Linked DNA regions of Struthio camelus. The protein of the gene in region 2 purifies or fractionates together with the protein of the main gene of each other region. This does not show direct contact. Links are inferred from orthologs where the notes say so. Each region holds a gene or a part of one and is shown on either strand. Other genes may lie near its edges. The genes, in order: KPNB1 and PPM1G.

Region 1 (15,580 bases), on a different chromosome or scaffold from region 2:
GTGGCTGTCATCTTTAGGCATAAGGCAAGAAAATTTTGCATGGGCCAGTAGCAAGGAGAGCTAGCTGTTAAGCATTCAAGGTTGAAAGATTAAAGCTCTGAACATAGACTAAAGATAAATTTTTCTTCATGGTACATTTAAGACTGCAAGATCCCCAAATAACAATATTTACCATTATATTAGAATTCATCCAGCCCTAGAGGCCCAAACTACAAACATACTGTTACAATGCAACTGACACAAACTACAAATATTAAGAGGAATCTTGGTTACAAAATACCCATTCAGCAACCAGGGTATCCAAAAATCAAAAAAAAAAAAAAAAAAAAAAAACTAACCATACATATCTTCCAAGCAAATAAGTAACTTGCACTTAAGTCTTGGATGAACTTGTAACAAATAATGCTTGACCTAGATTCCCTCTCCTTTACAATTGTACTTTTCCTCTGTTTCATACCATTTAATCTCCATAAAGTAATTTACCCCCACCCAAGCCTATTTTCCCAGCACTTTTGCTGCATTTTCATTTTTAACTTTTGCATTGGTCAGTGCCAGGAGCTGTTCAGACAATCAGTGCATTGAGAAGCATGCATCTTTTCAGGTGTTTTCCAAAAATCTGATTTGCACTGGTCTTTTCTTATGCCTTATTCTGTTTCTTTCACTACCTGTCCTCATCGATGCATCTGTTATTGCTCCTCATTTTATCCTATGGGGTTTCCCTCACTGACTTTTCCCTTTCTTCTTCAAGAAGGGTCCCTTCTGCAGACATTACATTCTTCAGATCTCTCCATCTACAATGGAAGATTCCCAAGCTGATTGCAATACTCCATCCTTATTCCTGCAAAAGGGACAACCCCCAGAGCACCCTACTCTTTTGAACAGCTGTAGGCACAGAAGAGGTAGTGGAATATGCTTACAATCAAACACGTATGTGAACAGACCAAGAAGTGAGAGAAACCTCCTGTAGCCAGATAAGAAGCACCAAAGAGAAGATTTACCTTTCTAACTCGCTATACTGCTGTTCAACAAGCAATACGAAACATGCACGTTCCAAGACGTTAAGTAACACCAAAAAAGCAGCAATCTATTTTTGTTTTTCAGTGCAACTCAGACAACACACAGGGTTTTGGGAGCAGTTCGGATCAGCTACTTGATGCAGCACATCATGATGTGACAAACTACAGCAATAAAACCACGAGAACTTCTATAGAAGGTGCCTCACACAGTAGAATATTCTTGTCCACGTATCAAAAGTTCCTAAATTAAGGATAAAGAGACCCCCTCATGCAAAATGAGGGTAACTGTCAAGTTTCTCCAACACACAAGTGAAGTAAACACTTGTCAGCTATCTTTAACCATTTTACAGTTTTACACAACTGACAGTTAAAGTTTTATAACAGCACCCCTCACCACCACGTGACCAGAGGGGTATATAGACTTCAGCCTAAACTTTATGAAAAATGACCTGGATTTGTGTTGCAAAAGCAGGTCAGTTCTTTCAGATATCATTCTTGCATGTTTACTAATACATCATGCTGTTCTGTTTGCACCGATACACCCTCAGGACAAGTTTTAGAAGACAACTACAGAGAGTCTATTAGATATAGAGGTGTAACAAGTGAAAGTCTGGAAAAGAAAAGGTGCTGGGAAGAGGTTATGCCAGTACAGCATACTTAGGGGGAAAAAAAAAAAAAAAAAAAAAAGAGCTACTTACAATATCCTGACAGATGTATCCAATGGCCTCTAGTGTCGACTCTTTCATGTGCTCAGTGCTATGTTGATTTGTAACATTAGCTACCAATTGAGGAATGAGTTCAGGCCACTGGTTCATGGGAATCTCTGCACACGCAATACCAGCCACACACTGAGAGGCTGAGCTGGGCCTGTACGTTTCTGTGCCCAACGTCTGCAAAACCTGCGACAAGAGATTTGTACATGATTATTTGATGTGAGCAACCAGAGACAGATGGACACTGGCCTGCCACCTAGATTTTCACTTGATAAACTTATTGCAAATGTACCCCTTTGGCCAGTAAAGCAGTTGGTTTGTACTGCTTTCTCCCTCTGCAAGCATTTGACCACAGGCAAATAATGTTTGAAATGAACTTAACCATGGTTATCCATTTCAGGAAGTGAGATACAGTTGTGTGATTACACATATTTCTACCACATCCTTTAAATTCCATACATAATGCTTTATACTATAATAATGCACATTGATGACTCACTGAACAGTTCTTTCCTACTTGTATTATAAAGCAAAGTTACAAAAGCTAAACAAATGGTGGTTTACAATCCAAAATAGTTCTAGATTGTTTATGCCAAGATAATCTGAACAGGATTGAAGAGGTTTTTTTCCTTATATTTATTTTAATTCCAATCAGAAGAACAATTTTTTGTATACTTCAATAACTTTCTTGAGGAGGAGGGGGGCACACTTCAGAATTTTCAGTTATACATCTTACTTGTCTAGATATCCCCTCAGCAAATACAGTACTTACAACTCACTTAGCCTCTCCCAAACTAGATACCGCTCTCTTCCCACCCTTGCACAGCCTGCCTCCTGAGACGGGCAAGAGGGGATAGGCTTCGTGGCTCTTCTGCTGGTATTCAGAGTAGCAGTCAGCACCAAATACTTCAGTGGCTTCATGATCAGGAGTGAACCGAGTGAACTGAGACCCCACCAACCCTCTTCACGTTTACCCTCTAATCAGCGTGGGCTAATAGATCACTCAGCTTCTCAACAGAATAATGGAAATAGTGACAATTGTCAAAGTTAAGAAAAAGCCAATCAGCAGGAATTAAGTGAAAGCATCCAACTTATCAGCTTAATAAGACACAAAGGACTTTGCTTTAGTTGGACAGAAGGACAGCAGTAATCTGGCTTTGTTAGCTTTTAATATACAACCCCATCACAACTCCCATTTACAATATAAGCTGTTTCCCCTTACCTAGTTCAGTCTTAGCCAATGTAAATAAAAGACTAAAGTTGTACCATAATGAACCGCCCAACCATACTCTACTATACACAGATTCAAAGACATCTGTTAAGACAAAAACCTTACATAAAAGCTTACAGCCAACTTGCATTAATTACATAACACCGTGTACATCCAAGTACACCTTTGTTCTTGCAAGTCAGAAAAACTCAGCCACTATAGTTTTGTCATTGCAAGTCCTGTACTGGAATTATAAAAGAACACAACAGTCCTTGGGAAATTCCACACCTGTACAAAATTTAAAAATACCATTTCACATCTGGAACTTGCATATGCATGACTACGCTCTACTAATTCTTTAAGATTTTCTATGGCTTGTGCAAACGTGCACGTTCACACACACGACACGTCTCAAAGACATTAATGACAGACTGTGAGACAGTTGAGGAAGCTGCTCAAGAATAAAAAGCAAACATCAATTCAGTTGAAATCGCCTAGTTAGGAAGCCATTCCCATGAACTCCAGAATCACAGGGGACTACTTAAAAACTGCTTTGTAAAAGTATTTATATGCCTCAATGTAAAAGCAGTAGCCACATATTTGCTTGTCTTTTTACCCTAACACTTCTGTAGATTAAATATGATGTAAGCAACAAAACGTCAAAGCACGCACAGACGACATTGTTTCATGAAAAGTAGAAGCCACCAAATGGAAGACTTTTCAGGTGGAAAAGGAGGGATAAGAATGCATTACTCATGATCCTCGAAGGAAAACGAACAGGCAAAAATGAAAAAAACCCCAAAACTTACATAATTCTTGACTTCTCTGCGGGCATTGGCATCGATTGCAAGCCATCTCTGTTGGTACTGGGCCTTGATATCCGGGTCCTTGGATGTTAAGGAGTTCTTGATCTGTAAGCCAGCCGCGACTCGAGCAACTTGGCTGTTTCCTGGGTTTGCCAGCACTCTGGACAGTTCCACAAGGAAGGTAGGCTGGAGGGCAGAGGAGAAAGCTGCTCGTCAATGGAAACATTTCCCTCCTTCCTCCTGCAGCAATGTGAGCCGTTAATTTGTCCTGACTAATGAGGAACAACACGCGTTTATCCAGCAGAACGCGACTACGCTCATTAAAGTTTCTTCAGTATCAGGCCAACAGCAAACCTCTGCTACTGTACAGTGACTGTGTTTCTATCCCAAGATTATATACGCTAAGCTCCTAATTAGAACTGCTGGTAAGCAACGTAAATAGACATCGACTTTGTTGGATGTTTTCAGCTTACTTGAGAGACTGTTACCTTTGATGCTCCTGTCTACTTTAAGTACTCCTTTAAATAAACTACTCAGGTTTTATGCAAAGTTATGTATTTTCTGGATGGATATCAAACATGGTAAAGAATAACCCTCTACTGATTTTCTTGCTTCAAGGCAAACACCCAAACTATAACCTAACACAGGAATTTTTAAAATGTGAAAACAGCTGCTGTGTTGGTGCATTAAATAGATTTGTACGAGTAAGCTTACTATATACTTCCCTGCAATCAAAGATACATATACACAAGTGAAGATTATCCTCACCAAAAAGTGTACGCATAGATAAAAATACTTGACGTCTGTACCACTTGTTTTTGGTGGCATCTAGTGAGAAGCACATCTGCATTTAAATTTGATTTTGCAATTCAGTAGCTTTACATTTTATAGACTTCTGCTGCATACAAGATACAGCTAAAGTTTCAACAGCAGAACATTTTCATTTAACTGGCCAGATGAAGCATTTTGCCTATTTAAAAGGTAAACAACCTTCAGGTAAATAGCAAAAACAGCACTATTTTCAAAACCATTTTATACCAAATAGACAAGGAAGAATGCAGCTTTCCAGAAAACGTTCCATTTAATATATAGTTGCATCTAACCAATTTTTAAAAGTCTGTATAACAGAACTTAGGATACATACAAAGATTTTAGGGCACCAAAAAAATAGTTATTTTTTTAAACTAGCTTAACTTTTAAAAGTTCAATAGAAACAAAGAGCATGCCCAGTATCCTGGACTTTACATTTTCAGTGATCAAGTTTGCCTCTTGAAAAATCTTAATTAGGCTATCTAGTAGATAAAAGTCAAAATGCAGAATTTGGAAACAAAACAGTCATCCAGTTGTCCAGTCAGAAATATCCTGACATTTTAATGCTCTACATAAAAAAAAAATGTACAAATACACCATAATAAAAGAAAACACTTCTCATCCATCAAGAATGTTCACACTTGAGACATTGAGTTCTACTGTGCCAGAAATGGGAAACCGTTCAGAAAAGTTCACAGGGCAAAACAAAAGTGTTGCTGCCACCTTTGAGAAGGAAACCTGACTAGAATTCCAAATTTGAGGAAATGCCCTTGGAGATCTCTCTCATCAGTTAACAAAAAAAAAAAAAAAAAGTCTTTTTAAGGAACTTTGATATAATTCCTGCTAAAAGTTAGAAGCATTACATTAAGATCCAAACCAAATGCAGATGCATATGACTTCCACACTTACAAAAACGCCAATGAAAAATTTCAGAAAAGGGTCTAAATTAAATACAGGAGGGGAAAAGAAAGAATAAGCATATTTGGATAAGTCTCCATTAACCAGCTGGGAGTTCATTTCAGACTTTGTTTGCTTGGCTGCCACTACCAGTAGCCCCCAGCACAGAGCCTCTAACCCAATCCCTTACCTCCTACCTCTTCCCTACTTCCTTCCTGTTCCTCCAGGCCCAGCTAGAGTTCTTCCCAATCACATACCACTTACGAACAACCCAGAACCCTGCATCCTTCCTCTCCTACGCTACCTTTTATGCTTCTTCCGACAAACCCAAGCTTCCTCACTGCACTCATCACTCTCGCGGTTGAGATGGGACTCCTCGGCCCCCATCCGTTGGGAACCTGCACCAACCCACACCCCTTCCCAAACCAGGGCACAAACTTCATCCCTCACGCACCAGCACAAATTCTGCTTCCTCTGCTTGCTGCCTTGACCTCGCTTTTGCGCTCTGAGCCAAGAAAGCAGGTATAAATGAAACCTTGAGAAACTGGCTCATCCCCCAGCTCTTTCAAAAGCCTGAAATGCATAAAATCACGAGCTGCCCAAGGACGTCAATCCAAAATGCTTCATATAACACTGCGCAGGAACGTCAACCTAACCCTGAGGTTATAAGATTTTTAGGGGATCCTAAGATTTAACAAGCAGCCATTCACAAAATTAGAATCAAAACGGACATTTCTGTGTAAAAACTATGTCAATTATGATTCTCAGGGACGCTTCACACTGCTTAAAATGTAACAACAACAAAGACCACACTACTTTTGTGGTTTAGACAAGTGGAGACAAATGCACATATGACCGTTTAAAAAGGAAGAATAAATTTTGCTAGTAACCGTAACAACCAGTGAGTGACAACTAGAATACTGAAGTGACATGAATAACACACCTCTGTTAAAATGAGCTAGGATTCCTTCAAGGACAGCAAATTAGCATCGCAAGCCCTCTCCTGTAAGAGCCTTGAAACAGTTGCAATAATACACCTTGACTAAGCAAAAAATCATATTCCTTCGATGGAGAGTTAAACTTCTCTACACCATCCTCAATTTTAGGACATATATAAAAAAGCTGGGTTTTTTTGGAAAGGAATAGGGCGATGAGAACTTTCATAAGCACGTTTTTTGGTGCGATAAAGCTTTTCCTCTCGAAAACAGAGTTCCCCCCCTCCCCATTCATTCCAGGTAAATTAATCAATCTTAACCTCTCCTGACCCCACCCAGCACAGTGACTCCCCCACCAGGATCCCGACCGTGTCATCGCCCTCCCCAGCCGCCTCCCCGGCACGCGTGCGGGGAAAGGCCTCGAGGATGGGCTCGGAACGGGGCGGAGAAAGACGGGAAGTGGGCCAGGAGAGGAGCTCAGCAAAAAAATAAAAAATAAATTAAAAAAAAAAAAAGGTTGGGGGGGGGGAAAGGGAAAGTGGAGGGGTAGGGGCTGGAGGAGAGATATAAACACCCTGGCAAGGGGCCGGGGCCGCGGCGGGGCGCGGGGAGGCGGCGGGGCCGCACATGGCCCCGCGGGCCGCTCCCACCGCAGCCGGCGCGGCGCTGCGCGGCGCGGACACGCAGCGCGGCGCAGCCTAGCGCGGCCCCTCCCCCCTTCTGCCGGCGCCGCGTCGCCATTGGTCGGCGGAGGCGGCGGGCGAGCCGCGATTGGCCAGCCGCCGCCCCGGCTGGACGCGGGCGAGGTAGGTTGCGCCTTTTATGGCGGTTCGGCCTGGCCGGGCGGGGCGGTGGGGGAGGGGAGCGCGCCCCCCCCCCCCCCCCCGCCCGCTCGGTGTCGCCCGGTGCCGCCGCCGCCGCCCTCCCCGGTTCTCACCAGGTTCTCGATGGCCGCCTGCTCCAGGAACTTCTGCGCCGCCTCTAGCTCGGAGCGGTCTGCCGGGGAAGCGAGGAGAGACGGCAGGGGGAAGCCGGCGTCAGTCAGGTCCCGGGGGCGCCTCCCGCCGGGCCCCGGCTCCTGAGGGCCCCGGGCTCCCGCCGCGCTCCCAGCCCCCTTCCCGCGGCCCCGCTCGCCGCCGCCCAACCCAGCTCCCCTCAGCCAAGCGGCTGCCGCCGCCTCACCTCAGCCGGCCGCAGCCCGCGGGGCTGCTGCGCGGCCTCCCCCTCCCCCCCCCCCCGCCACCGCCGCCGGCAGCGGCCTCCGCCCCGCCCGGCCTCTCCGGGCCTAACGGCCGCCTCAGGCCTCGGCCCGGCCCGCGCCCTACCCGGCGAGACCGTCTTCTCCAGGATGGTGATGAGCTCCATGGCGGCGGCGTGGCGGCTCCGGCACCGGCGTGCGGGGAGCGGAACGAGCCGGGAAGGGGGGGAGGGGAGTGAAGGGAAAGGGGGGGAGGGGGAAAGGAGCCTCCCCCGTGAGAAACGGCAGAGGGAACGGGGTGGGGTGGGGAGGGGGGAGGTCCCGCTCGCGGAAGACCTCGCGGGGCGGCGGCGGCGGCGGCGGCTGCTCCGGCTGCTGCGGCGGGCGGCTGTGGCAGCGGCGGAGGGAGAAAAGGGCCGCGCGAGCGGGGCGGGCGCGCGCGCGCACACCGAGCGGCGGAGGGATACGGCCCGCGGCCCGCCGCCCCGCGCCGCCGCGCTCATTGGCCGGCGGCGGCCGGCGGCTCGCGCTCCCATTGGCCGGCGGCGCGGCGGGCCGGTAGGGGTGCGGCCATTGGTCTGGAAGGGAGAGGAAGGGAGGGGCGGGAAAAGGGTTCCGGCGCCGCGCGCGCTGATTGGGCAACGCGGGGAAAGGGCGCCCCCGCGGCGGGGCCGGGGGAGGGGCCGGCGCGGGCGGCCACGTGGGGCCGGGCCGGGCCCGGCAGCGCGCGCGCGCGCGCCCCCGCTCGCCGTGGGGTCCCGCCGCCGCCGGCGCTGCCCGGGCCCTGGAGGTCCGGGCGGAGGAGCCGCCCGCTGGGGATCCTAACCTGGTATTAACCTTAACCTAGTATTAACCTAAAAGCTACAAGTAAGGGATGCGTGCTCGCTGCACGATGCAGCCTCCGTGCACGCTGTGTTTTCCATGCCCGATGCAGCCTCCGTGCACGCTGTGTTTTCCATGCCCGATGCAGCCTCCGTGCACGCTGTGTTTTCCATGCACGATGCAGCCTGGCCCAAGGCGCGCTTTCTCCACCAAGGTGCCTCGAGTTTTAAGGAGCGTTGAGGGGAGGCGCAGTTGCATCAGCTGGCGGAAACGGGGCCGTTTCCCCAAGGCGCAATTCCCCGCAGCCCTGAAGAACCGGGGGTTGCAGCACAGGACGTGAAGCCTGGGAGATTTCTGGGAGGTCGCGGGAGATGCTTTCAGCTTGGACGGAGTTGTCAGCGGTGGCACAGTTTAGGATAATCAAGGTATGGTGGAGGTTCAGGTAGATCTTTATTGTATGCTCCAGGGGTGCATGCTCTTTACAGCAGAGGCCCCAACCCAGGCTGTAACCGCCGCTCCTACAAGCAACGATACTACAAGTGACACCCGGGCTGCACGGTTTTGTGTTTATGCAACTATTCCTCTCCCCCCCCCCCCCATGGAAAGGACTACGCGATCCCTTGCGTGGGTGCAGTGATAACACCACCAAAAATGACCTAAAGGCCCCTCGTTCTTCCTCCCTCCCGGAGAGGCGCTGCTACACCAGCGCGCTCGCCTGCACGCCCCTGTCCAGCCCAGGCGCTGGACTGCCCCAAGGCAGGGAGATGGCCGCACCAGCTTCTGAGCACGCATGAGGCCTAGCTCAAACTCCACAAGATGCAGGATTTAACAGAGGAATGCCTGGAAAAAAAGGAGAGGAGCAGAACAAAGGTGCAGCTGAATAATTAAACCCAGGTAAAGGCGGGCTCTGCGACTCGCAGGTCTCTTGTGGCTTGCGCACCGGGAGAGAGCAATTAGTAACACAATCAGGCTCTATTGTGGGATTAAATACAAAGGCCAACGAGAGAAGGGACAATTACCTAGTTACAGTCAACCTGACTCTTCCTGTAGGCAGGGAGGAATCGGAAGAGCCCTGCTCCTCATGCCAGAGGAACGCTCAGCGCTCGACGCAGATGTACGTTAGACTCCCTTCTTCACGGTGTTCCTACTTCTTGGATTAACCGTGCTTTGTACTTGCAGTATTTTGCTTTCCTGGGAACGGGATGCGCTGCAGGTACGGTAACTGCTCAAGTGCAGCCATCTCTGAGCGCATAAATGAGGGAGAGAGAGTTTGGTTGACCATAGCAGGGGAAAACTCTGAGTTGCAAGGAGCTGGCAATAGTTAACATCATCCAAACAACTGACTGTTTTTAACTGATAGTCCCATTCCTACACCACAAACCATGTGGAACCCAGCTGCTCGGTGGCAAAATTGGTAGAAGGGATTCTGCCAAGATACAGGTCCTAGATGAAAGGAATACGGGTATTTGGGAAATGCTGCACAGGCTCTAACCGAGTAATTCCTCAAACCCTGAAGCCTCTCCCAGCACTCCTTGCTGTACTTATTTTGCAAGTAAGGAAGCTAAATACACCATATTCCCACAGCGCACGAATGGTGGAACCCGGGAGTCTGGGTCTCTGGTGCCTTGCTCAGGCCTCGAGACAGGCAGAGCTCTGCTAGATGTTTTACCTTGTTAGATGGCAAGAATGAAGAACAGAGAAAAAGGAGAGAAAAAAACAAGAGCCTTGGCCTCTGAGCCCAGGGGAGGGCAACAGCATCTCGTAGCTCCTCCTGAGAAGAAATACAGCTTCTGTTGAATTGCAGCCTCCTTTTGCTCAGGTTGGGTTTCCTGGTCACCCATTGGGATGAGGGGATTCACAGGCCTTTGTGAGAGTGTCTGAACCGTCTTGGAGCAGAAGTCCAGCAAGGTGTCCTGCGGGAGGGCTGTAATCCGAGGGTGCTCTGCGCTGCGCGCAGGTATCAGTCACGAGAAATCCTTTACAGCGGCAGTTCCCAACCTCGGGCTCCAGCACCCAGAACTGTGCACATCTCTGCTCAAACATCGTAAATGCCATGTAACAGACCACTTGGCCCTGCAGGTTACACTGCAATATGGGACAGGTGAGGAACCAGCGCCAACCCAGCGTATCCATCTCACAGTATACATGCCGAGCCACAGTCCTAGAGCCGGCTGCCTGCAGCCAGCTAAAGGCAGAGCGTCATTGGAGCCACAAACAATTGCATTTATTGGCCAGTTGCAAGGAAGGTACGTTGCTCGTGAACACACCACCACTTTCTAGGCTTCGTTTGCTCCGTGACCTTCTCAAATGCAGGATGTGCAGAGCTGGAGCCGCTTCCAGAGGCCAGGATGACAACCACAAGAGGTCAGGAAGATGGGGAAAAGCAGTCTGGCTCATCCTCGATGTCTCCAGGCCTTTCTGCCCTATACTACTACTGTTTTTTCCCTTCACAAGCTGTTGCCAAAGGAAAGGGGAAGACAGCTCTTATGTTGCAGGGCAAAGCAAGTGCCGACCTCTGAGCAGTGGTCTCAGTCACTTGCCCTGTTGCTGAGGAAGTGGACTCATACCCTTGGGTGTGCATTTTGAAAAGTATTCATCATTCCTCCAAAGAAAGTCGGGTTACAGGGACAGACCAGGACTCTGGAGCTCAGGAGACCTAGATACTGTCCCTACCTTTGCCAGTGGCCTGCTGGAGAAGCTTGAAAAAGTCATTTTGTCTACCTCTGCCTTGAGTTTCACATTTTAAAATGGGGACAAATCCTTATCAGCTTCCTTTGTAAAGTGCTTTGATACCTACTGATGAGATGTACTTAGTGTAAGTGGCTAGCAGGTTTAATACGGTTACAAGCAAGAAAAGAAGGGCTGAAAAACATCTGGACATCAAGGACTTTAATTCCGTTTGCCCTGCTGCCATCGTCTTGTTGCATGTTCTTGGTCACAGTGTCTTGCCTGCGTCTGTCTCGGCCGCTCCAGCTGGAAAGACTAAGTTGACGCTAACCTCGAGAAGGTGGATAGGGACTGCGTTAACTCGTGACCGGAATGCTTTGAGATCACCCCGATAAGACAGCGAGGGAGAACAGGACGCAGAGACGCGGCCAGTGTGTCCACAGCGTGTGTTGCTAGCAGGAGGAGGAGAGGGGGTTCCTCTCTCTGCCAAACCCGCACCTGCGGAGGAGCCTGGGTGGGCAGACTTGTCAACAGTTCACATCACTGACTGGTTTAAGACCAATTACTATTTGCAGCTTGACTCATAAAACAGAACTGACATGTTATTCAGCCTGAAGGAATGGAGCTCACCTCGCGTTCAACCTTCCTTCACCACGCTGTAGTATGCCTTTTTGAGCAGTTCAAAGTCAAACTCACCAAGCAGCGTTTGGGTTGAAGTCAGCTGAAACGCACTCTCTTGCAGCTACTCCCCAGCAGGGAGGAGGGATGGGGCAGGAACTGAGGAGCCTGACACGCAGCTGCGGTTTGCTTCTGCGTTTAGCTGAACATTGTCCTGCCCCAAACTGCTTCCCTCTTCCCCTCCCTGACTCGGCGCCGGGGCCCCAGGACACACCTGAAAGCGCACGGTGCTTCTGCAAGCGCGGTTTCACGCAGCTGTTGCACGCTGCCCTGTGCGTGTGCCTGCCCTTCTGTCTTGCTGACCAGGACGACTTCCCCTAGGAGACCGTTCCTGTAGGAAAGCCAAGGAGAGAGAAAAGCGTTAAGGAGTTTTGTACAAATCTGGCCTCACGAGCAATGCAAGCCCAGAAACCCAGTGTAAAATAAGGATAAGTGAGACTGCAGAGTCAGCTCCCCTTGGTACAGCTCAGGCTGGAGCTTTAAACTTGAGATAGATGCACCGTTTTGCTCTTCATTGCCATAAATGGCATCCTCAGCATTCACAGTACAGAGGCTTATATCATCTCCTGCTTTCATAAACTGACTGCAGAAACTGGGAGAGAAATGCTGAAAAGCTGCTGACCTTTGGAACAACTCTAGAAACAGTTAGGGTACTTGGGGTTATTTCAGCAAGTGAAGTGATTAGAACGAGAACTAGGTGACCACGTTTTCTTCTCGAGTCCAGACGGCTGGCTGTGCGTTTCAGCAGCGAGAGCAGTAAATGGCTTTCAGGATTCCTCGTTGATCTTGCTGCTGTCACCATGAACAAAATCACTTAAACTCTGTGCCTTAGTTTCCCCTATTTGTAAAAAGGGGAACATTTCATAAATGGATTATGAGTGTAAATGATCTATTGGAGTGCTTCCGGAATGAGAGCAGCCTTCCAGACTAGGTGCTAGCACCCATCAGAAGAGCCAGGTTCTCATGGTAACTCAAAATCAAAAGAACAGAAAGTCACTTCTCTGCTTCCCTTCCCACCTTTGAAATTCAAAAGATGACAGCTTAAAAAGATTAAGCTGCTCAATACTTCCAAGTTTCTCAGAAAATCCTACAAAGAGATGAATTCCAAGGAACAGGAACCATCTCTGTTTTTGTATGTGTACAGTATGCAGAGCGTGGAGTTCAACAGTTTCTTAGGCACTAATGCAAATCAAACAGTCGGATGATACCAGGTTTAAGAAGTTAACACACCAGGAGCTGTGTCTAAACTAGATTTCACTGCTGAAAAAAGATGCAACAAACATTTGTTGTCTTTATCAAAAACGTTAATAAAGCTGGAAATACAAAACGTTCAACAATGCAGAGGGTCAGCACACAGGAAATGTCTTACGCTTCCTATCTCATTGAAAAAGCAAAGGTAAGTGCAACTTCCCCACACTGGAAAAGTCGAGAACACATGCTTTAATCCAACGGTAAAGAAAACCCTGGAGAAACATTGACAGTCACAGGCAAGCCCGAGCTCACTCTTCTGTTCCGTTTAAGACAAACTGCTCCTCCAACAGCAATGCCCTGTGCAGGAAGGGCGCGTGAAATCAGAGCAGCGATGGCACCCACCACCCAGCCTCGCACTACCTCCTGCAGCACACGATCCTTACGCAGGAGGCATGTCTACATGCAGTTTTTCAGGACAGCTGCAGCATTTTCAGTTCATACCCAGTCTGAATCCACATCAGCTTTCAAGCAAGGACAAGCCTTTATGGTCAGTCCAGTGCTATATTAGCTCAATCATTTAATAGGAATACAGAATAAGATTATTTATTTACACAAACTTGTACATGCACTGGAAGGACAATATATCCACCACACTCGGTTCTCTCTCTGTAGGAAACTAAATGTCAAAGGCTGCTTAACACTAAACATCTCCCTAACGCTAAACGGCAGCAATGTGGTAGATTTCTCCGTGCTCCGTCTCACTTACCTTCGTGTAGCAGCCCAAAGGAGGTCTTACATGCTGCACAGAGAAGATGCGTTTTCCTAACAATCAGTTGATGAAACCCGCTTTTTGGCAGCCAGCACAGGTGACTAGATTAAACGAGGTTGAGCAGAGACACTCACCTGGTCTTCCTTGCTTAGAGGGATGCTTTCCAACTGCTTCGGTTATATTCAGACTTCACATTACCTCAGTTTTCTTTCCTGGTTTGGGTCCCTGTAGAAGAAAGGTTAATGTAATGAAACAGTATCGTGGAACACGGCACATTATCCTCTTTAGCTTTAAGTTTTGCCACATGCATATATTTTCCCACGTGTTTTCACTTGAATTGAAAATAACTATGTTTAACTTTGACCAAATCTTATATCATGATTTTAGCACAGCAAATTGAGCTCTCCTTTAATGAAAAGAAAGTCTGAAACAGCCTGAATGGAGTTCACTTTGAGCCAGCGCTGGAGTGATGCCTGCCACTGCTCAGCCTGATTTTCCATCAGTTGAACGGCTTGGTCCTTCCTTCACTGGGGTAAAACGATGCTCGTCTTGACATGGTCATTGATGGACAAGGGGCACAAATCCTCCTTCGCTCACCCGGCTCTCTCAGCAATAGAAGCGTTTCACTTAAGTTAGTATCAATCCAGTTTCTGTGTGGCTGCCATTAGCCTTGTTCTGATCCTGGTGGCCAGCAGTCATTTGCTGTCATGTCTTCCACAGAGCAATTTCACTTGCACAGGTATTTTGCAAGGGCTAAGATAATTCTTAAATGGAGCAGAACGTGAGTATAAAGTATTTCACGTGCAGTAGCATAATGGCTAATTGCAGGGACAGTCAATAGTAGAAAACACTGAGACTTCACTGCACCTCATGCGTGACCCTGTCGAAACACAAGTAGGTACATGTTAGAACAGGATTTGGGAGGTAAGGTTTCAGACTTTTTTGTTTGGTTGTTTTTTTCAGAAAGAGTTCACAAGCGTATTTGTCACTGTACACCATTTCGCTTTTACAATAATTTAAAATAAAGAGCATACTCTTACCGTGATTACATTTGGAAAAGGACCCTGGCATTTGGGGAAGCAAATAACATGTCCTTCCAGATGCTGCAATTCCGCTTAAGCTAGATAAAATTTTGGTCTGAAATCTGGGTATTGTTGAAGAGTAAACTGGATTCCGAAGCTTTCATTCCCAGCTAATTAATTCCACATCAGCCTGGCAAGCTTGTGCCTTTTACCCTGACAGATTAAATATTATTTTATCCCACGTGTAAGAGACTTGCAAATATCAAAGCAATGACTATATATAGGAATGTATTTTTGTTATTACAAAACTTGCCTTTTCCAAATTGCTTCGGAGAGTTCACACATGTGACTCTTTTTTTTAATGGACTGAATATGTTCTGAGCAAACCTGGCTCTTTTAGCCAGAGGATTGGATCAGCAGCAGCAATGGCAGGATGCCACCAGTCCTCCACCCACCATAAGCATTCCCAAAATTGAGGAAGTGATTTGTGACTTGCTTATTTAAACCTCAGCATTTCAGTCTCAAGGGGCTAAGTACAGGGAAGGCACCTGACCATTCCATGCTGCTCCAGGATCAAATTGGCTTCATATGAGCTTCCAGTCCCTATCAAGACTGACTAGATTTTAACTATTTCATTATTTTTATTGCCCACAGTAAGAAAAGGCATAAAAATTAATAGTTTGAGGCTTCCTTAAAACTCAAATTCAATGATCTAAAGCTGATAGGGTAGAAAAACAGGACGCATCTTGAACTGAAGATCCATGGAGCCAAGGCTAATACGTCTAGCATGACCCCTGCAAGATGGTTAGGGATAAATGTTTTGCAGAACATGTAAAAAGTGAACTG
Region 2 (15,138 bases):
ATAAAGGGTCTGTAGACAACAGGCCCAGAACAAAGGCTCAATTCCTGCTACATCCTGCAGTGCCCTCATCTTATTCAAGCCCATCTCAAGGGTTCACTCCTTCCAGAAAGCCCCCAAATGAGCTAACAAAAACGTTACAAAGGCTGCAACGTACTCCCCCTTTTGAGTACATTCCCAATAGTCAAGTAAAATCATAAGAACTACAGCATGGCATTAACTTTCTACACTAGCTGGAAATACAGGTCCATTGCCAAAGACTGGCAAAACGCTAGCAGCCCTTCTAGCACTAGCTTGCTTTTGCTCTGCTACCCTTCCATTCTCCAGTAGCAGAATCCAAAGCTCAGAGCATCTGAAGTATCACCTTTCCAACAAATACTATCTCATTTTCCCCCACATACAGAAACACAGATGCGTGATAGGAAGAGAAAGCCCAGTGCTTATATTTTACCGCCTCAACAAGTTTCTTTTCAGTCACAAGAGCTGCCAAGAAATTAGACTCAAGCATCAAAGAATCCAAGCACCTAGTTCATTGGTATTTTCTGTCCAAGAATCCTGCACTCTTGTCTGCTTGAAAAAATGTAAATCCAGAGGCAGAAAAAGCATCAACTGGCTCCAGATGAGAAACAATTCAAGAAACTAAGACTCCCACTAGGAGCAAAAAGACAACACAGAAATATAAAATAAAGATGAGGTAGATCCAGTATTTCACTTCATGTCTTGCTGGGTCCAGCTTCTCATAAACCACAGCTTCTTCAGTAACCTTTCACAAAGCCAGCACGGATCAAGGGATACATTAGCTTGATCACTACCCCTCAGCTGTAATGTTCAACCACCTCACCATCAAAGGTCATCAGACTGCCTCGGAACCAGCTACCCAGATGTCAGCAAGGTCTATATTTACCATCTTAAAAAGAGAGAGAGAGGTAAACTAAGGGCAGCGTAGTAAAGACAGAGGTGCTGTCTACATTAACCTTCTGAACTTCCAAGCTACAGGATACAATGAAAAACAGTAAGACTCAAATACTGAGCATGTATATACATACCCCACAGGCACAACCTACACTGCCTCCAATGCAAGTTCTTCACCTGAGCCGATACCTAGGTCCATATGGAACTTTATCACCCTTAGCCTGCACTAAGGCAACTATGTGGACAGGAAAGGGACCTATAAAAGACTGCTCATTTCATCTAGTTTACCTGACAGTAGAAAATACCAGAGAGAGAAAGCCAAAAAAAATATGAACATGGCAACCACTGTATGCACAGATGCACTTATATACAACAAATTTGCCTCCAGGGAGGACACAAAAAAGAACCTGTGGATCTCAGCATTCACTGAAGTGGGGTATCACATGGAAAGTGCTCCAGCTGCTGAGCTTGCAGAAAAACTGATAATACATCAAGCGCAGAACAAAAACTAGATAAGCATGAGGTCAGTTCTTTCTCAGTGGAGGTCACTGATGGCTAGCAAGAGCTCAAACATTACCTCTCGGGCACCCTGAAAATCACCACAGTATTTTAGAATCTGCAGGAGAGAAGCAGTCCCTAAATCTTCAATCTGCACAGGAGGGAGCAAGTCACCTGGGCAAATTTCCAATCAAAGGACCAAACACAAGCAGGACTGCACAAACGATACAAGGTTTTCCTGCTAGTCTTGAGCAGTTTAGCATACATTTGAAGAAAGGGCAAAGGTATTTCAGCAGAGACCAGTACTATTTCTCCCATTCTCTTTCCTCCTTTAAGTGCCAGGCTTCACTCATCCCTGCAGAGTCTTCTGTGTCACGGAATGAAGAAGCATTTGGGGAAAGCTGTACTGCAATAGAACATGCCTCACAAGGAGCCTGCAGAAGGGTAAGTCTAGCATACTGGACTTACTGCACAGTCATTTGCTCTATTAACTATCACAGGCATGCTCACATACATATCTGAAAGGGAAACAGCTTGCTCCCAAGGCTATGTATCCACAATCTGCTACTAGTTAAGAAGTTCATTCAATAGCATTAAACAGGCCATTTATTAAGCGAGTTATGAAGAAATTACCTCATTATACTCATTTCTTGTCATCTCAAAGTTACACAGCATCAAGCCTGCTTGTGAAGCACCCCACAGCTTTTAAACACAACCCCTTAAACACTGAAGGAGAAATTAAAACAGTTTGATTAATCCCTCTGAGCTTCCCAATCAACCACCACAAATTCTTAACCTTAGCAGCCAAGACTGACAAAAGCAGCTTTTCAGACAAACAATTGACCTTTGATGTCAACAAATTATTTAATACAAAGTCTTGGCTTGTGCAATCACATAGTGTTTTCCTATCCACAAAAGGCATAGAAAGAAATCTGGTCAGTAGGTAGCTATTAAGCAGATGACAAGCTATAGGACCATCTAAGTCTGCAAATGGTTGAGTCCTTCCCACTAACATGGGCTCACCAAGCCCCACACAGTAATACTGGGCTGAAAATTCACAAAAAGAAGATTCTGCTGCAGGAGAACATAAGTTTTCCTACAATTATATTTGTGACACTATTCTTTTGGATTTGTGCAGCTCTCGCAGAGAACAGGCATCAAGTCCAAGGCCTAGCAGGCATTTCAGGTTTAATACCTGCCACCGGCACAAGTCTAAAAATGAATTGCAAGTGCGTTACTACAACCCATTTCTATTCCTAGGAGGCGTAGTCTAAACACAGCAGACAAGTTGTCCAAGCATCTTCAAATTAAGAAAAATGTATGCATGCTGACTGAAGGACGAAGGCAGGCACAAGTTTGGAGAGCCAAGGCCTGAAGGGCCTATCAGCCTCAGTCTCTCCCTCCTGTGATTCCGCTAACCTCAAGCTGTAGGTATCTTCGCTACACCTTTCCACCGTGAGATGGGATCCACCCTCTTACAAGTTTATCTTCTGCCCCTTGCAGAGGTTAAAGGGCACACATCACCCTTGCATATGTCAGGGGAGCAATCAGGGGAATTGGTTACAGTTGTGAAGAAGGGTTCAGCTCAGGTATGGAAGCAATACAATTTGCAACACACCAGGAGACCCATGCTTGTGATATATACACCACAGCAAATATTTATTGGTCCCTGCAGTGCCTAAGGATGGGAGAGTTACCTGAAAATGCCAACAGGGGTTACACATTGCAAGAAAGAGGAGAGTGATGCCAAAGTCTTCTCTTGTATAAAATTGTCCAAACAACAGAAAATAAGTACTCTATTGGACAAGCCATGTCCCTCCCCTTCTCCCCCCCCCCATCTCACCTTGGCAGCAACTTCACCCTTAAGGTTTAATCAGAGCATGACCACACCACTATCCATAAAACACGCCATAAAGAGATGAACTTTTGGGAAAGTATAGATGCTTAATCCTTTATCTAGTTACAATAGCATCTTAGTTACAGAACTTCACAAAGCCACTTAATTTTAGAAGAATACCCTGAACCTTCATGGCAATTATACACTTCACGCTACAGATGTTCACTGTCTCTAGGAGAAAACTGCAGTCAATCAACTCAATACAACCCTTGCCTGCATTTGAATTTCAAGCAGACTTGAAGTTATATTAGCTGGCATATTTTACATTGGGCTGCTGTAGCTAAAATATGACTGAGTAACCCACATCCGGCTACATTCTAACTGGACCTTGCAATCCTGCTAACTTGATTGCGCTAATAATTGAAACAATTTCTTCTCTTTTTTCCCCCCCCCCCAAGTTAGCCTATGCTGAATTGCTAACTTTTTCTGGACACAAATCAAGTACACTAAGCTTAATGTGCTAGCTAAAACCAAACGTACCAGAAAACCTGGGCATCAGTTAAGGTTGCTGAACCCCCATGTGATTTAGATCACTGTAACTAAACAAAGACAGAATGAATAAAGGGAGATCTGGGAAGGAGTCCAGGATAGGAGAGGCAGCATTCTAATAACTTATGCTTGACTACTTTGTTAACACAAAGGATCCTTCCCACTGGGACCACACACATCTAACCCTACACCCAGTATGGAGAATAGGCCACCACTAAGAGTTAAAAATCTACCGAAGCAGTTCTCAACCAAAGAATTCTGAAATAAAACCTCTAAGAAGTTGCTAGGTAACAGTGTTGTAGTTTAGGCTCACAAGCAGCCTAAACCTATGAGAGTTTGCGCTAATGATGTAATGCTTTTATCCCACATTTCATTGGCTAGAGGAGGTATCACTCTGGGAAGAGGCTCAAGTCCTTAAGAGTAACAATCATTTGCCTTGTCAGTTTGCCCGAATCAGTTTCCTTGTCTTATGTGCTTTTTCCCAGCTCTTTAGGTAAGACAACCACAGTGGTGCATCATCATTACAAAAATGTATTCCATACATTCACTGCTTTTTAAAATGCTTGCTATTGTGCAAAGAAAGCTTCCTCACAAGATGCAGAGGTGCTCAGGAATCACACTGCAGTTTATTCTACTGGAATCTACTAAAGTTTTAAGGTAAATAACCTGAGCGCTTGCACTTTGCTGTTCTACGTGTGGATCCCAGCGATACCTTTTCCCTCAGATTTATAGGGCTCCTGTCTATACAGCCACTACACCTGTATTCTAGGAAGATCATTACAAAGAGTAATTTCAAAAAAAGAAACAAAAGCAAACAAAAAAACAAAACAAAGCCCCCCACCACACACCAATGCTTAAGGAATTACATATACAAACACACAAAGTGTGCTACCCAAGCTGAGAAGTAAAGAACCTAAACTTTTGAAAACATCAGACTGCATACTGTGCGTACAACCTTAGCTCTTCTCTGTGGGCACACGTGCTGTCTTCTCCCCAGATTATCTCATTACGTTGCTTCAAAGGCATCCAAAGAAGATGTTATAAGAGGATATTATAACTCAGCATCCAAAGAAGATAGTGCTAAGAGGAAGAATCAGGATTGCGCAATGGGGGGGGGGGGGGGAAGGAGGGAAGCAACATTCCTTTTTCGTAGAGTAACACCTCCTCACTGCCAAAGGGGTAGCGAGTGAATAAGAGCTCGTCTATATGGATACACTGACTGGAATAACCAGCGCTGACTGACCTATCACATTAATAGCACTTTATGAAGACACTGCTCTAGTACAAAAGCTACTTTTACTCTGGTGCATTAAGATGCTCAAAAAGTAAAACTGTTACTCCAGAATAAACCTCATGCTGGAACAGCTGAAGTGGAAGACTTTATTCCAGGGTGAAGACTGATCCAAAAGCTGAAGACAGCAAAACATATAAGGTAGGTAATATGGTTAAGGTAACTGAATGCTATTCCACAAGCTCTGGTTTAACCAAACCACAAGTTTACGTGCAAAATTAAGGAACAAGACAGAATTTAACTGCATGATCACTGGAAGGCTACCTAAGAGATATAAGGCCCACATACAAGCAACTATAGCCAATATCAATCCGACCCATAAATGCTCAACATTTCCTGAAGGAAGGCCGTACAACCTGGACAGATGATGTGTTGGGCATTAGAGGACCCAAGTTTACTCCAAGTTAGTCAATAATTTGTTTTGCAACCTTCAAGAGTCATTCTGCTGTCATTTGTCTGTCTGCAAGGTGGAGCAAAGCTCATTCATCTAACCTACAGAGGTGCATTCAAACCAACCAGACCCTCTAGTTCCTAGCTAAAAGACAGCAATTTAGCCATGCCAAAATTTTAGGGAACTTCTTGAGTTTGGGCCCTAATTTGTCTGCATATGAGGGAACCGAAATACAAAGAAAATACTGACGCCTACCAAACTTTACATTTTATCTAGGACAGTACAGAAAAGCCTGGAAGGAAATAAATCTTTCTGTGTCAAAGGGATCTGCAGTAAATAAAACACACTGAAAAAACTATACACACTGAACTTCTGCTTCATTCCCTGAGCCTCTCCGGTGTGCTGATTCAGCACAGATCATAGGAAAAAGCACCTCCTATTCATAGTTTCAGATTATCATAGAGAATATATTCTGAAGGATAGAATTAAAGCTCCATACAGTTACCCTCCTCACCACAATCCAAACTGTAGCTTCACCAGAAAAAGTACATTCTTACTATACCTTGCTACAATTTTGGCTTGTGTCAACAAAAGACAGGTTTCAAGCAAGTAACTGTGGGGAACTGTTGACCTTATTTTGACCTCCTAACTTACACGAGAGAAAATGACTCTTTCACCATCAACAGAGTTTCAGCTACCACATGTCTACGTGGATACGTAAGATGGTCATGAAATTATATGTTAAATCCTGACCTGGCTAAGAAAGAATACGTTAACATTTATGGGGCAGCACTGGAGTTCACATTTTCTGTCTTTCAGCCACTACCACAGCTATACAGCTTGCTCAACCAGAGCAGGTTTCACTGAGCCAACCTGAAGCGCAAACCAGTCCATGGAGACATCCTCCAATAAGATAAACAGCACACAATGAACCGTGTCAAAGAAAGGGCTCCAGAATAAGATCTAATCTGCTTGCATCTTCATATGGGAGAATTCTGATGCACGCACTGAGAAGTAGGTGCAAGGCAAACAACCCAAGAACCAAGTCCGCATAAACAGGCCACGCATTATCTTAACTGAAGACTTCAAAGCAAAGCAAAATCAAGGCATAATTCAAGACCAGACAAGACCGGGCAACTGGAAGCCTCCATATCCGGTACTGTTCCTTTCACGCTCCTGAGCGAACACCAAGAACTGTGAAGGCATTGCTCCAGCTTACTCCCAGAGCAAAAGATCCAACGAAAGGCAGACAGGACGGCTGCAGGTACCCCTTTGCCACGCAGCGGCCACAGCAGGCCCTGACACCACCTGCACAGAGGAGCCCCCAGCGCGATGCGTGCGCGGGGAAGCAAGCGGGCAGCGCTCCAGAGGCCGCAGGCGGCAGGTGAAGGACTCCCCCCGCTGCCCCGGGAGCGCGACGGCCGCTGGCCGCGGCGGCCCGGGGGCGGGAGCAGAGCGGGCAGGGCGCGACGGGACCGCGCTGGCCCCCCCCGCCGCGGCCCGGCTCCGCCGCGCACCGAGGCCCGGTCCAGGCGCTCACCTCCTCGCGCCGCTTCTGCCAGCGGCCGCACGGAGACTCCTCGAGGATCTCGGACTCGTCCTCGCTCTCCTCCTCCTCCTCCTCCTCCGGCGGCGCCGCGGAAGTCACCGGCGGAGACACCGAGGTCATCCCCGGGCCGGACGACGCCGACTCCGGCTTCGAGTCGGAGCCGCCGCTGGGCGCTTGCTTGGACTCGCCCTCCGACATGCTGCGGTCGCGCACCCTGCGGGCGGACGCGGGGCCGTGAGGGGAGGCGAGGCGAGGCGGGGCGGGCCGCGAGGCCGCGCCGGGCCTGTCAGCCGCGGGCCGCGCCTCGGGCCTGCTGGCGGCGCCGAGCCGAGCCGAGCCGGCGGCGCGGGCCGGGCGCCCGGTAGGGGTGGCGGCGGGGGGCGGCGGCGGCGGCGGCGCGCACTCACCGGGCTCACCCGGCGCCTCCCGGTCCCCGAGCGCGTCGCGACTCCGCCGACGGGGCCGCGCCGCCTCCAACCGCCGCGCTGCGTAACGCGCCGGGCGGGACGGGGCGGCGCTCCCGCCGCCCAATGAGAGCGCCGGCGCGCGCCGTCACCCTCCGCGGATTGGCCGGTGGGCGGCGCTCCGGCTATATAAGGGGGCTAGGGGCGCCCGCGCGCGCGCGCGCGCGCAGTCTGTGAGGGGGCTCGGGCGCTCGCCCCCGGCCGCGGGGAGGCGCCGGTCCCGGTCGCGCCCGCCCCGCCACTGGCCGGCGGCGCCCCTTGTCCTCGCGATCCCCCCCTCCCTGAGGAGCCCGGGGCGGGCTGGCACGCCGAGGGGCGCGCCCGGCCCGGGGGAGCCCGCGGGAGGGAGGCGGTGTGGGGGCGGGCCGCGGCCAGGCTCGCTCCTGGCGGGAGGCGAAGTCCCCGGGGGGGAGGGGTAAGGGGGTCGCCGCCCGGCGGGACCACGTTTCTCGCCCGGCCGCGCTATCCCCCCGGCTCGTCTCTATGGCAGGCACTTCCGGCCGCTCTGGTTCGCCCGCGCGGCGGGCTGCGCGCGCGCTCCCCCGAACGCGACTCTCTAGCCCGCGCTTCCGGCCGCGCTACTTCCGCTCGGCGGCTCGCTGGTGGGTGGGTCCGCCGCCGCCGCCGCCGCCGCCTCGCCGCCCGGTGCCGCCCGGTGCCGCCCGCCCCGGTCCGGTCCGGTCCGGTCCGGCCCGGTGGGTGCGGCCCGGCTGCCGCCGCGCCCGCCGCCGCCGCCGCCATGGGCGCCTACCTGTCGCAGCCCAACACGGTGAAGAGCTCGGGCGACGGCGCCGGGCTCGGGCCGCGCCCGCTGCACTTCGGCTTCAGCGCCATGCAGGGCTGGCGCGTCTCCATGGAGGTGAGCGCGGGGCGGGGGCTCCTGCCGCCGCCCGGCCCCGCTCTGCCCGCGCCCCCTCCCCGCCGTGGCCCCGGGCCGGGGATCGCGGCGGGAAAGGAGAGACTCGGGCTGGGCGGGGGGGGGACAGTCTGCTGCCGGGGGCCACCTGGCGCGGCAAGGGGGACGTCCGCGGGCCGGACCTCTGCTTTCCTTTCCGGGGGGAAATGAAGTTTTAGGGTCTTTTTTCCCCCCCCCTCCCTGTTTTTAGTCCTTTCGAGGGAAATTTACTGGGAAAATTCTTATTCCTGCTCTCGCGTGAGACTCCTGTAACCAGGCCTGCCTTTACCCAGCTATCAGCTAGGCTTGTGGGACAAATGAACTGTCACCAGGTAAACATCTGTTAGGCTGAAGAAGTCAGCTGTTTGTCCGAACTCCTCCTGATGGTGGAGTTTGTAGGAATTGCTTTGTAAAGCTGCTCGTGTAAGGCCAAGGTGTATCTGCTTTGGATCGCTTCTCTGCCTCGCCAGCAGTTCCTAGTTCTTTGAATTTAACGCTCTCTGCGACTACTATTAACGTGCTGGCTTATTTTCCCTTCCAGGCAGCTAGCAAACAGCCCAAATTAGATAAGGATGAATAGTGGTCCCTGCAGCCGCCAGGGTACATCTCTGAAAGCAGCCTTCTCGTTTGCAGCCCTTTGGCTACCTTGGAGAGGCCGTCCCGTTCAGAGCACTGGGGATCGATTTTTGCAATTATAGTTTTGTGAGCTGTGCTATCAAATGTTTTATTGCTGCTGAAACATTACAGCAATCTTACTGATAACAGAACAGTGACAATGTTTTTCCTCCTTTCTGCGTGCATTGGAGCTTTATGAAACTGGGCTCTAGTTTCAGAGGCAGAAGAATTGGTGCTTGGGTCTTAGTCTGTCCGTTCTGGTGACCTCTGCACAGGTGAAACGTGACACAGAGGCGTTATTGGAGCACTGAGGTGATGGACGATATAATCTCTGCAAGGCGATTAGCTCGTGTGTAAGAGGCTGAATGCAGGCAGTGTTCTGGGAACCATGGTGCGCGGAGGCTGAAAGCGTTTTAAGGGCACGGTCTTGGATGAGGGAGGGCAGAGAGCTGCCCCTGTTTTAACACTGGTGGGAAGTCAGCTCATAATTTCACTTCTTTGAGGCCTGCTCTTGCTGCCATTGACCTTTATGGAAATTGGATGAGACCCAGAGCTTGCAGCTGTTTTTTCTGCACCAGCCAACATCTTTGGTATATCTCCCTGCTGGTAGAAGCAGCGCTGAGGGCATTGATGTAGACATGATTTAGCTATGTTATCACAAAAGTGAGATGATGGCAGAAGTGCTTATGTTACAGCAAGTTTCTCCTAGGTCCGTGATGAAAGAGAAACAGTTCATTGTTTCGCATACAACCGAGGAGAACGTGATGATTCTGTTGCGTTTTCTTGCCTTCCGGAGTTGTGTGTTTTTCTCTGTATCTTGTCTTGGTTTGTGTGTTTCCTTTTCTTCATGTTTAATTGTACTTTCACCCTTCTGTAAGGATTAGAGAAAGTTCTGAGTAAATATGTATTCTGTTAGTGTACAGTTAAGGCTTGAGTTATGGGTTATGTTAGTGAAGCCAGTCGGAGTGTACACAAGTGGTGGAAGCAGGTACTTGTGGACAGTAGAATTTTGTGTAAAGGAGTTATCTGTTAACTTTAATTTATACTTTAGGAGCACCCAGGCAAATGTATAATAAATATCTGTTCTTAGTCCGGAGAGGTTACTTTGTAGATAAGAAACATTTTAGATAAAATAGCGTTGGATACTACTTATCCTTTTTGGTCTCCAAGTGACTAAGAAGGGAAAAAGCTGAATTACAATAGAGAGAGGAGTGCTCAGGAGTAAAGCGGGATGGACAGGAGGCATTTATGGAGGTAGATGCACTGGGCCTCTGAGTTCTGTGGCTCTGCCTGGAACTCCGAAGAGGACTCCTGTGTACAGCATCATTTCATTCTTCTTGAGCTCACAAAAAGAGTCCTTGCCTCAAAAAAGGCAAGAAGTTTGTTCAAAGTGTCTCCTGCCAATATATGCTGGGCTTGTTTGTCCGCCCTTCTTGACAGCAGTGCCTTGGTCCAGGATCAGGACATATTGTGGTGAGTGCTGTAAAATGAAATAAGAAGACCATTTTTGCTGCTGATGTTAGATTTCCTTCCTAGCAGCATTTGTTTTACTTGCTCTAATTAAACTGCTGCTTAGTCACCTGGGACTTATCCCCGTTACTTTGTTGTGGTTTTGCTGTCTCTCTAGCTTCTGTAAACGCTCTAAAAAGTGACCATACCAGTGTGATTTTTTGTATATCATCTGTGTATCATTTGTATTCATCTGTTGGCCAGTGAACTCTTTGGTTAAATTACCAAAGTCATAAATGGGTCTTTTTTTTTTTTTTTTCTTTTGAACTAAAATCATAATTCGCCCCCTCAGCTTTTGTTTTCATCACAGTGTCAGGTGGTTTCATTGCACTAGGTGCTGTATAAAGCCAGAACCTCTCCTTTTCTGTTTTCGTTAACACTTGATAGAAATCACAGGGGAGTAGAGTTCTCCTTTGTAAGGCACCTTGAAGGGCAAAGAGCTCACAAATCGCATTTAGTTATCAAAAGAGTCCTACAATAAAAGAGTAAAAAAGCTCAACAGATGCTTGGCTGTGCAGTGACCAAGTGTGACTCTGTTGTACACATAGGAGTTTTCTGCTACGGTTGGCAATGTGTCCATCCATACTGTAGAGCCTGCTGCCTTGGAGTAAGCACAGTGTTTTGGGGCACCTGTAGCTCATTTAATTTTCAGGTGAGGAACTTGAACCATGACAAGGAAGGACTATTCTAGATCACATTGTTTAAAATGTCACATGATTGCTTCTGAACAAAGACAAGCGGGGGACAATCAAGCTGTAAGTTGATAGGATGAGACTTGCACTTCAAGGAATGTTAAAAAATTAGTTGAGGGGGGATTAAAAGGCATGTTCAGTCTAGCCATCAGTTCTGAGCTTGGTGCTGGAATAGCCAAGTTTGGTTTGCTGGCCCATAGGATGAAAGAGGTCAGGCACCTGGCTGTAAAACCTGGATGGTGCCTTCAAAATCTCTTGTTCCTGATGAGCTCTTATGGAGAGAAGGGCAGTGTTCTGTATATAGCTTTCATATTATTCATCCTTGTAGTTTGGGAGCATGTGCAGAGAAAGGCTTGGCAGAGTTTCTTATTTATACCCAAAAACATTCTGGGATACACCTATCTGGTTTGCCTCAGGAGATTCTGGGGATTTCTGGACAGTTGGCAGAACCGAAACACCTGACTTGCCTCAGGAAGTGACACCTGGTTTTGTACTTTGATTTAGTTGACTAGTTGATATGTCCCTTGCTTCACTGCTTAAAGGACGCTTGTGAGAGGGCAGGCTCTTTGCCTTTCTCATCAGGGAACTGCCTGAGGCCTAGTGCCTTCCCAGGAGCGTCAAGCAGAGCAGGAAGGAGCCTTTGTCCCAGATGCTCTGAGATGCAGAGCATCTCTGGGAAAAAGTTTTCCAGCCCAGTGTTCGTTCTCACTGAATGTGGTAATCCCATGTACTGTATGGCTGTTTTTCCATTGGGCTGTTGGAGTAGACAATCTGACTGCATTCGCCTGGACAAGCACAAGCAAAGGCTAAGTGTGCTGCTGTATTGTAATCGTAGGCCTGAGGTCAGGAGGCTCTGTATTTGACCTTTTGTCTTCACCAGTGTATCATGAAGTGGCATTCAGGTTGCATGGCTCTTGTTTGGCAAGACCTGGAGAAGAGAGAGCCTGTGTGGGAACGGCCAGGCACCAGAGGTGACCCTGAGCAAGTTACATTGTCTGCATGGGGGAAGTTACCAGTGTATCAACAGCAGGATAACTTGTATTTCTGTGTTTACACTTAGAGAAACCTCAGCCTAGGTACCTATTCATACAGTGGAGCACAGCTCACTGCCTCCTGTGCTTTAAGCACTGTGAGATATTACAGTAATGGAGGCCTTGCAGATACCAGGGGCAGACATCAGTGTAGGAAGAGGGGTTCAATTACGGCTTGTGCTTGGCAATATCCAGAGTTACTGTACTGGAGAAGTGAGGGAGTCTGAAGTACGGTCTGAGAGGTGGTTAGAAGGCTGTGCTACTGCTCTAGCACGGAGCACCATAATGGTAAAGATCTGCCCCTTTTTCAGAGTGCTCACTGGATAAGCTTTTTTAGACCATGGGAGGAGGCTTTCTCGCTCTTCTTGCTTTTCCTCTAGGTCTGAGAATCAGCGCTCATGTCAGCGCTCATCGCCTGCATGCTCCTTTCTCCCAGTTCTCTGCTGGGCCTGGTACAATCAATGTCATTCAGACTTTTGCTCTCTTTTTCAGGATGCGCACAACTGCATACCGGAGCTGGACAGTGAGACAGCCATGTTCTCCGTCTACGACGGACATGGAGGTAACTGCTTCCCTTGTTCTCTGCAGAGTTCTTCACTATTGCTCTTCCAGTCGACTCAATGGAAGTGGCTGCTGTCCTGGCTACTGGAGCAAGCATCTAATTATCCTTAGAAATCCTGCTCCTTCTGGGAAAAGGTTTTCTTTGATAGATATCAGAGTAAGGCTATGAATGTCTCTTAGGGTTTCTAGAAGAAAAGTCATGGTTTCATACAGAATTGCAATGAGACTTGCATTCCACCTTCTAAAAATCTTTTAAGAATGACCATTATTTTCTTGGTAGGTAAGTCAGACAGGATAGTCGCAGAAGAGTGGCCATAAGAAAGACCGAAGTGGAATTAGACTGAAGTGGAATTAGACCAAAGGTCTGACTCTAGTCAGATGTTGTGGTGGTTGGCAGTACTGGTTTCTCAGGGGAAGAGTTAAAAAAAAAAAAAAAAAAAAAATCCATTCCCTGACGTATCTTCCCAACAGCCATTCCCCACTTAAGGGCTCTCTGAGCTAGAGATTTCAGCTATATGATCTTGTAGACAGCTAGAGGTTTTTTTATGCATAAATTTGTGAAACTGCATTTTAAACCAGTTTATATGTTTGGTAGTTATTTGCATAGGCTGTTTTATATATGACAATTATTTTTGTTTGAAAAAAATACTTTAATCAAAATCTGCTGCCTGATAATTTCACTGCAATATTCCCAACACTTCTGTTAGGAGAAATTAGTGAGTAATCACTGTTACCACTTTTCACTTTCATAGTTTTGGACTCTTATGTCCTTTCTTCCAGTCAGAAGATTCTTAAACTTGTGTCTGCTCACACAGCTGTATCTGTAGCAGTAAATTCAATAGCAGCAAAGCTCATTTTCTGGCCCTGAGACCAGTTGGCAGAGTCTGGCCACATCCATGCAATTAAGCTCTCTTAGTATTTGGAATAGTTTGGCTGCATCTAAACTGACTGTTGGTCCCTGGCCCCTACTACATCCTGAACTGTGTCCAGAAATTACTTGAGGGAGTGCTAACTGGCTTGGGGCAAAAGCATGCCTTGGACCAGGCTAGTAATTTTTCACATAGGTGGTAAAATGCCTGGGCCGTGGCACTCATTAGGTTACTCGCGTTGGGCATAGCCGTGGATTCCAGGCATTGTATCGTTCTAACTATGTTTGCCCCTTTTTTTTCTTTGGAGGGGGAGGAAGAGGTTCCAGCTCTGCAGCAAGCTTTTAGTTAGGATGAATAGAGCTGCATATAGCTTTCAAGATACAGATGTACCATGGATTTATTGTGACATTAAGTGTGTTCTGCTTTGTTCTTGGTTCCTTTACTAACAATTCACAACATCCTATTAGCTGTTTGATACACCTAAACAGTGAGTTGACGTTTTCAGAGATCTGTCCACAGTGTTTCTCAGATCTTTCCTAAGTGGTAAGAGCTGTGTTTGAGTCCATCCAACGTGCATGTGTGGTTTGGTTGTCTTTTTTTCATGTTTGTGTCTCTGCAATTGTCAGTGAGGAATTTCATCTGCCGATATAGCGTAGAAGGATAAGATCCCGTTACAACATTTTGAGAATGATTTTAGTTTTGACTCTCCTGAATGATCCATCACTCTTTCTTGACCCTCTTTTCCAGATTATTTATGTAAATGTTGAACAATGCAAATTTTCAAGGAATTCTAACCTTGGTCATCCTCCGTTTGGCAAACTGTTTGCTCCTATCAAATCTTACTTATTTTCCCATGGCAGCTTAGTATGTAAGCATTTGATGACTTATTTGAAACTTTTTTGAAAATCTGTGTCTCTATGTCAGCCAGACCTCCTATTTCCACCTGCTCATTGACTCTTGAAAAAGCTCTGATCAGTTTGTGACACTCTCAGGCATATATTTGTTCCCCATTCTACCGTATATATCTATATATCTGCTAATTTCTGCTGTTTTCTGGGTACAGAAACCAGATGTACGGGTCTATAGTGTTGTAAACCCAATTCCCACCACTCTGAGACCTTTTTAATTTATTTTTGGTTTCATCTGTGTTCCTTCCATTTTTCTGACACTGGAGCTGATAGAAGCAAAAAAGTTACCGACCCCAGTTTATGGTTTGGCACTTTTACGTGCGAGTTCCTTTAGAACTGAGTATCATCTGATTCTGCCAATTTGTAAGTAAGAGTTTGAGACTCTTAATAAAAAGGTCAGTCTGAGTAGATGGCTGGCAAGCTAATAGCTATTCAAAAGATATGATCTCAGTATGAAGCATTAAAATGGATTAAATGTTTTCAAATTATTTTTCAGCCTGAACTTCATCCTAGGGTGTTCAGAGAACTGAGTGGAATAACTGCTGATATCTCCAAGGTTATCTTTGAGAA

What was found.
Region 1: the proteins of PPM1G (region 2) and KPNB1 purify together in Homo sapiens (affinity purification with mass spectrometry; 3 studies listed by BioGRID and IntAct, with this or other methods). This does not show direct contact. The link is inferred for Struthio camelus from reciprocal best matches to the Homo sapiens genes PPM1G and KPNB1.

What each region holds. Positions count from the first base shown.
Region 1 is NC_090966.1:5,910,762-5,926,341, forward strand, and holds the start of KPNB1 (importin subunit beta-1), read right to left. Parts: upstream 8,089-15,580; coding exon 7,713-8,088; intron 7,384-7,712; coding exon 7,325-7,383; intron 3,932-7,324; coding exon 3,749-3,931; intron 1,916-3,748; coding exon 1,715-1,915; intron 1-1,714.
Region 2 is NC_090944.1:636,904-652,041, forward strand, and holds the start of PPM1G (protein phosphatase 1G), read left to right. Parts: upstream 1-8,042; 5' UTR 8,043-8,227; coding exon 8,228-8,347; intron 8,348-12,722; coding exon 12,723-12,792; intron 12,793-15,138. Other genes in the region: NRBP1 (nuclear receptor-binding protein), read right to left, coding at 7,016-7,222.